Caenorhabditis elegans: one gene and its partner. The protein of the gene in region 1 interacts with the protein of each later gene in a biochemical or structural test. Each region holds a gene or a part of one and is shown in the gene's direction. Other genes may lie near its edges.

Region 1 (3,930 bases):
TTCCGTCTTCCACAGGAGCAACTAGTTCAGGATCGACTGTTGGATCCAGTACAATGGGTTCAACACAGTCTTCGCTGCCATCGAGCACGATGACTAACACTGGATCAACTGGTTCAACTGTAACTAACCAGCTGGCCTCTTCAAGTACTTATGGTGCATCATCAACTGAGCCAATCGCATCATCCACAGCAAACCCAGGATCATCTACCAGCGGGCAAACAGCGGTCACTACCCAAGGATCTTCTTCAACTCAAACAAATTCTAATACTGGATCTACTGGATCAACTGTAACTAACCCTCCAGTATCTTCAAGCACATCTGGATCATCATCAACTCAGCCGATCGCATCATCAACAGCAAACCCAGGATCATCTACCAGTGGAACAACAGTAGTAACTACCCAAGGATCGTCCTCAACTCAAACAAATCCTAATACTGGATCTACAGGATCAACTGTAACTCAGCCATCGGCATTTTCAAGCACTTCTGCATCATCATCAACTCAACCGATTGCATCATCAACTACAGCAAACCCAGGATCATCTACCAGTGGACCAACAATTGCAAGTACGCAGGGATCATCTTCAACTCAAACAAATTCAAACACTGGATCGACCACTGTAGCTACTACTGTAACACAAGGATCCTCAACTGAAGGGAACACTGGGTCAACTACTGTAAATTCTCAAAGCAGTAGTGTTGCATCAACAGTAGCATCCAGTACATCTAACATTGTCTCATCCACTTCCCAAGCTCCAACATGTGCTTCTCCGTACAGTGGAAAGATTGCAACTGTTTTTGAATTGAGTGCAAACAGTGCGACGGTAAGAACAATCGTTTTGCCAATTTTTAAGTTTTAAATTTCCAGAATGTTGTAAACTTTGTGACCAATAATTTGTACAACTCAGTCAACTATGATTTTACTTCAACTACACAAGCAATCAATGTACCATATGGACAAACCGACAGTTATCCTACCAATAAATTTTTACAATATGGTGGGGCAAAGTATGTTTAATTTATTTTTGTTTTTGTTCAAATAACATAGCACGGCAAATATTTCAGGAGTTTAACGAATCTTCAAGACAACATATCTGATTTATTAGATAGTGCTATTTTGATGATGGATTCCACAATTTCCGAGTGAGTAAAACATTTATCAAAGTTCTGATTGATTAATGTATTTGCAGCGGGCTTCAATGGCTTCATGCTAATAGAGATCCAGCTGGAACAAATGCAGTTATCATTATTGTTGGAAACCAGTAAGATTTGTGAATTTTCAAATTTTTTATCAATCTACAATTTCAGCGATGATGAAAACCCCGCAATGACTACATTCACTCTTCGAGACCTCAGAGCACAAGGATATAAAGTGATTTCGGTAGCTGTTGGTGAAGGTCATGGAGATTTTTCCCTAATTCCGGATAAACAAGAATGGTATTTCCAAGTAAACGATTCAAATGGACAAAATATTGCTGATCAGATCTCATCTATTCTTTGCAACTTGAAATAATCATCTCCCCACTGATATCTTTCCTTACTGTGCAAGTTTACCCATTTCTTTCAGAAATAAATATATTACCTATAACAGAGCGCTTGATTGGTTTAAATGTGTCGCTAAAGGTTTCTCTAAACTTGGAAATTTTGCAGGAAATCATCTTTTATTGCGTCGATTATTTTATACACGACACCAAAAAAAAACATAAATAAAAAGCAAAGTAAGTTTTCATTAAATTCCTTAATTAATCAAAAACTTTAATTTTTCAGAAGTATATCTGATCTTCAGAGTAATATTGATACTCTTTCCACCAATGCTGTCTTATCGACAGACACTACAATTTCAGAGTAAGATATACATTTTTCGATAAACAAAATTGTTTAACTTTTTTCAGTGGTCTCAAGTGGCTTAGCGAGAGTTATCCGGACGGAACAAATACTGTTACCATTGTCGTTGGATACCAGTAAGATTATTTATATTACACGCCGTCTTCAAATATATATTTCAGTGTTGATGATAACAATGGAATGACATTACTCTATCTTAAGACTTTGAGAGATCAAGGTTATAAAGTTATAACGGTAGCTGCTGGTGTAGGACATGGAGATTTATCTGGAATTGCTGACAAACCAGAATGGTCTTTCCAAGTTAATAATTTCTTTCAACTATGTGGGTTCAATAAAAATATTACATGTTTCCATGGAAACGGTGTTCGTATTCTAGAGCGCACTTTCTCACATATTCCATAGCTGGAGTGTGCTTGTTTCTATGACAACTAAACACGCATCAACCACAAATACGTTATTCTAATCGCTTCTATTCACACAAAAGAGGTATTCATCTGAAAAATAAGAAGAATGGAACGCCCATCAACTGCATCTTCTCGTCCTCGAACCTCCACCGGAAGAGCACCGTCGGCACGGGCTAGACCTCCATCTGCAATGAGAGGTAATAGGGAAATTGTATTTTTCTTACCAAATCTATGTAGAAAAATAATAATTTTCGTTACCTAAAATAAAATTTGTAGCTCCTCCACCACAACCAACATACGAAAATCGTCCAACGACTGGAATGTCAATGAGAAACGGAGGGCCTCCTGTTCCTCCATCACGAAGTGGTATGATTCCAGTACCTCCGTCTAGATCTGGTGGACCTCCTGCACCGATGCCTGTGTCAAGAGCTGGGGGACCTCCAAGAGCACCTACTTCTGTAAGTATAGCTATAAAGCATCAAGAAAATCTACCTATCGGAAATAGATTTCCAAAATAAATTTCTAAAAACAACACTGACTGAACTTTAATTTTAATTGAGATTTAGATAGCACAATAGTAAATACATATTTTTCAAAATTTTTAATACATTTCCAGATGGGTGGACGCCCAATGACTGGAATGGCAAGACCTCCAACAGCCGGATTGAGACCAGTTACTCAACAAGGATTACGAGCTCCTCCGTCAAGAATGGGAACTGGAAGTATGTATATTCTAGACTCCATTCTAAATTTTAATCAAACATTTTCCAGACTCCCGTCAAGTATTTGACAAATCATACTACATCGGAGTTCTTCGAGCGAAACAAAACGCTATAAAAGTTGAAATATCTCGTATGAAAGAGAAACGAGATAAAGGAATAAAAGATCGAAATGAGCTACATGCATATGAATCAAGAGCATCTGCTCAAGCACAAGAGATTAGTGATTTGCAAGGAAAATTATTGGATTTGAATAAAATAATGGAAAAAATTCATTTGAATGGCGATATGTCGGATATTGAGTTAGAAGCAAGCAAAATGAAGGAACAAGCTGATGAGGTTAGATTACTGTAGATGAAAGATCACTTTAAGTTATAATTTATATAATTATAGATGAGATCATTAGCTGAAGAAGTATTTAATGAACGTCGTGCAAAAGAAGAGGAACTTCAAGGATTGGAAATAGAAGTTGAAGAACAAAAAAAGTTAAATGAAGCAGTAACACATGCAATGGATCCTCAAATGAAAGAAAAATATGAAGATTTAAAGTCTGAAGCGAAGCTTTTAAGAGAAAGAGTTGTAGAAATGGAAGCGAAAAATGAAGATTTAGATGATAGAATTTCAAAATATGAAATTGAAATTCGAAGTAATCCACTGAAAAAGAAGGCAATCCAACTACAAGAAACATTGGATACACTCAAAAAACAAGAGGAAAAACTAATGGAAGATATGCAAAGTGCACTAACACCAGAAGCATGGAGAGATAAAATGTCAGAAAATATGAAACAATTGAACGCAGATTTGGTTGTGATTGAGAAACAACACAAAACTGTTAAAGATCAAATTTCATTGGCTTCAGAAGAATTACACGAGTATGACTCACAAGGAGAAGCTCAAATCAGTACGTTTCCTTTTTTTGATAAGAAACTATTGTGCATTTGTGTTTGGTATTTGGTATTTGA
Region 2 (3,930 bases), on another chromosome or scaffold:
GATCTACGCGTTGAAGGCAAAAAAAAAACTAGATTTCCGGTTTGAACCACAAACCACGCGACATTGCATCATCACATCCGTTCCGAAAAAGGGTTCTTACGTATTTTCAATAAAAACTCACAAGTTTATGAAAGTGGATAGATTGGTCATAGTCTCCAAGGCAATAATAAGTATTTCCTAAGCTGCCGTAGCATCGCCCCATCGTCAGCGCATCTTCCGATTTTTCCGACATCTCCAGATTTAGCCTGCAAATTTTAAAATCTTTATTAGGAAGATTGAAGTAATGAACTCACATAAAGTACTTGGCAGCATTCTCAAAATCCGAAGTGGCTTCTGCATTTTTGGCGTCATTTTTCTCTTCAGCAGCTTCCAGTTTTGTGCATCGCCCTCGCTCCACATAAATCGTCGCAATGTTGTAATAAGCTCGAGATTTGAGAACCTGAATTTTTTAAATGGAAAGTGTAAATTATCTGAATGCAATTAGGAGTTTCATTCTTGAATAATTGCGTTGTGCCTTATTTTGAAAAGCTGAAATATTTCATAGCAATATTCACAGCTGCTTCTAACAAGTTTCTAGGCAAGCATTCTGGAATCTTTTGGAATATACATTTTTATTTGAAAACATCTGAAACTTTTTCACCCAACTCGATCGAGAAATGTTTCAAGCTTCCAGAATGTTTGCATACCTGTAAACTTTCCGAAAACCACTAGAAGTTCGCAAAAATCAACATTGGATGCAATTTCACAGCTCTATTAAATATTGATCCTTTTCAGATGGTTTTTATGGTAGTTCAACGTGCTCTTCTGCCGCTAAATTTTTTGTGGTAACCTAGTTTGCAGGTCCCCTTTCAAATGACATAGATTTCATTCAGAAGTCTCATTGTAGGCTGAAATACTTTCCTTGTAACTATGGTTTATGTTGGAAACTTCGAAGAAAATTTAAGATGGAACTTTGTACATGTTTGCTAGCACGAAAATAATAAATCTCCTGTTGGTATAGCAACGGGTGCATTTTTTTTTCAAGTACAAAATCAAGTTCTACTCACTCTATCGCCCAACTCTTCGGCAAAATCCAGCTGTTTGAATGTGAAGGTGAGCGCGTCGTTGTAAGCGCCTTTCATCTTGAATATATTTCCCAAGTTGGCACACGACTTTGCTTCTCCCTCCTTGTTTCCAAGCAATCTGAAATTTTGTTTATTTTTTGTTTAAATTTCTTTCGCATTCGTTACCTTTCAACAAGAATGTCATACGTATGGAACTTGAGAGCTTGCTCATAATCTTTAAGCATTGTGTGTGCATTTCCGAGCTGACAATAGATAGCCGAGAGTAATGAAAAATCATCTGTGCCTACTTCCAACGCTTTTTTCAACAAGTCGATGCCTGAAATATTCAAATTCAATCAATTATTTACAAATAATAATAAAAAAGAAGTTACCTTTCTCATACTTTTGCATGCGAAAAAGACGTTCCCCTTCCTGTGTGAGCTTGTAGCAGGAACGGTCCTGCATCGCACCTTTCCCCGCTGCAAAAAAAAAATCGATTGATATTCTTCGATGACAAAGATTTCAGAAATCTGCACAATACTAGAAAAAAGGAGAGAAACACAAGCGATTAAGATTGAGAAAGAAGAATCGAAATGTGGTCTTTCAGAACAGAAAGGGTGGTCAATGTAGAAAAAAAGGTATTTGAATGATTTATTCGAACGAGTACGGACCAACAAACTCCTCTGTTTGTTCGTTGCACGGCCGCTCTCAGTACATGGAAAGAAACGTCCTTGCTATGTCTGCGGCAGCTCTCTCGTTCACTCCTCACGACAGATGAGCTAGTAACCGCGCGTTGACGTCATTTGTGTAAAGACGGCTAGGAAGTATTGTTTCGAGCAAAATATTTGTTAATTTAAAATGACAAAGGAATATAAACTGATAGTCTTAAAAGATACATTACTCAAAAAAAAACTCTCATATGAAAAATATAAATTATTACCTTAGAGTATCAAAAGTTCACATTTAATTACCACTCACTCAAAACAAATCTCTAACCACAGTTAATTACCAACAAACTGATTCAACTTGTTCAACTTCTGTTCCCTTTTCAATACTACTTGAAACATTTCACACTCACATAGCAAAGAGCCCAGCAACAACATATATTTACGTCGTGTTGCCCTGGTAACCGGGAGCGCTGCTCGACGAGCTCGCGTTTATTGTCATCACTAACGGTGTATCCTTAAGATGTCGAACGATATTCAAGGGTTTATTCTCCACTTTTTGAATGAAGAGCCGTTCAATCTCAACTTATCATCACTTCAATTCGACCAATTACCACCGCAGCAGTTGCTCCAAATTTTGAGTAATGTTTTGAGGTTGGTTAAGTCAAAAAAAGAAATTTAAAAAATGCGATATCGAGAAAAAACAGTTATGGTGTTTAAAATATTCACAAAAATTTTCCAGAAACGTGTGCTACATTTTTTGTGACAATTAAAAAACAGCTACTTTATTATTATTGTATCGTTATTTTTTCAAGAATTTTTCAAAGAAATATAAATAAATTTTTTTAATTTCTAAAAATAGCTTTACCTTTAATTGTACTTTTGGATGTTGCTCAAAAAAAGGCACAAAGTTACAATGTGCGTGTTAAATTTGCTGGTTGGCAAACTGATACTAATGTCAGTTTTTGAGCAATCTTCTTAAACTTTCTATTGAAAGTAATTATTTTATAGATTGCTGTGTAAATTTAAAAAAAATTTGACACAACAATAAAGAAAAGGGGTATCAGCAGGTCCACTTGGGTAGAATGTTCAAAAAATTCGGTTCTTTCTTATTTGTTTGCAAAATTTCAAAAGTCATAAAAAAATTAAGAAAAATTTGAATAAATTTTTTACAAACACATAAATGCTCTCACTGATAAAATTGAATTTAATAATATAAGAACAACGAAAATTTTTAAAATGTTCAGCTGGGTTTCCGACACGGACCGAATTGATATCAAAAGAGAGGCTGCTGAAGAGACTGCAATTCGTATTCTGAATATGCTCCGAATTCTCCGCTACAGACCACCGCAAGACCAGGATGAACAGTTCGTGCAAAACGAGGGCAATCACTAAACAGCATCTAATTTGACATTATATTACAGGGAAGAATGGCGTGCAGGGATTGTCGAAGGTCGCAAGACTAGCCTCTATCCTCTTCTGGTTTTTCTTTTTGAAAACTCAGAAGGTTTGAAAGAGCGCGCATATTTGTCAAAATATTTGATGAAGGTAATGAATTGCTATGCCAAAAGCCGACATGTTATGCTAGTGGTTTCTGGGGGGAGAGAAATAGATGTTGTCATTATTTTTTTTAAAAGAAAAATGATACATAGAGAACAAGCATCGTTCTGCTTGAATAGCTGATATAGTAGGCAAGACAGCCGAAGTTTTTGGTTTAGTTAGTCTCTGATCTAGGTACACATTGAATTAATGAATCAAGAAATGGCTAAACAGCTTCGCACTTTTTTGTAATTGGAAATACGTAAATTAATTATTTTCAGACAGATGTACCTGGAGAATTCTTCGATTATGATATTGAAGAGCTGCAAAATGAGATTGGAGAGTTGACAATGGAGTTTAAGGTTAATCACATGAGAGATTAGTCGTCACGATAGTGGATGAGCAAAAAAAAAGCAAAAACAAAAAAAAACAAAACAACTTTTCTACAGGAAATCCATGCTGAAATGAAAGGAATAATGGCAGACGTACTCTTGCTTGATGACATAAAAGAGGATTTAAAGTCAATGGAAAAAGAAAAACAAATTTTGCTCCGAAAGATTGAGAAGACCGAGAAGAAAGTGCAGAATATACCATATTTTGATAAGTAAGTTCAAATAATGTGAAAACTTCAAAAAAAAATTGTTCAAAAATAACAGGAAAATGTAGTCAAAATTTAATTAATT

The links.
Region 2: the proteins of ift-74 (region 1) and ift-81 form a complex in vitro, tested with the Caenorhabditis elegans proteins (one study listed by BioGRID).

The regions. Positions count from the first base shown.
Region 1 is NC_003280.10:6,677,779-6,681,708, forward strand, and holds the start of ift-74 (Intraflagellar transport protein 74 homolog), read left to right. Parts: upstream 1-2,277; 5' UTR 2,278-2,355; coding exon 2,356-2,446; intron 2,447-2,525; coding exon 2,526-2,707; intron 2,708-2,865; coding exon 2,866-2,971; intron 2,972-3,020; coding exon 3,021-3,307; intron 3,308-3,361; coding exon 3,362-3,869; intron 3,870-3,930. Other genes in the region: H43E16.1 (VWFA domain-containing protein), read left to right, coding at 1-824, 869-1,008, 1,066-1,143, 1,191-1,262, 1,309-1,513.
Region 2 is NC_003284.9:5,296,519-5,300,448, forward strand, and holds the start of ift-81 (Intraflagellar transport protein 81 homolog), read left to right. Parts: upstream 1-2,042; 5' UTR 2,043-2,113; intron 2,114-2,146; 5' UTR 2,147-2,177; intron 2,178-2,208; 5' UTR 2,209-2,231; coding exon 2,232-2,362; intron 2,363-2,955; coding exon 2,956-3,075; intron 3,076-3,132; coding exon 3,133-3,256; intron 3,257-3,528; coding exon 3,529-3,609; intron 3,610-3,696; coding exon 3,697-3,851; intron 3,852-3,930. Other genes in the region: ags-3 (Tetratricopeptide repeat protein 28), read right to left, coding at 122-245, 294-439, 1,047-1,182, 1,230-1,380, 1,436-1,508.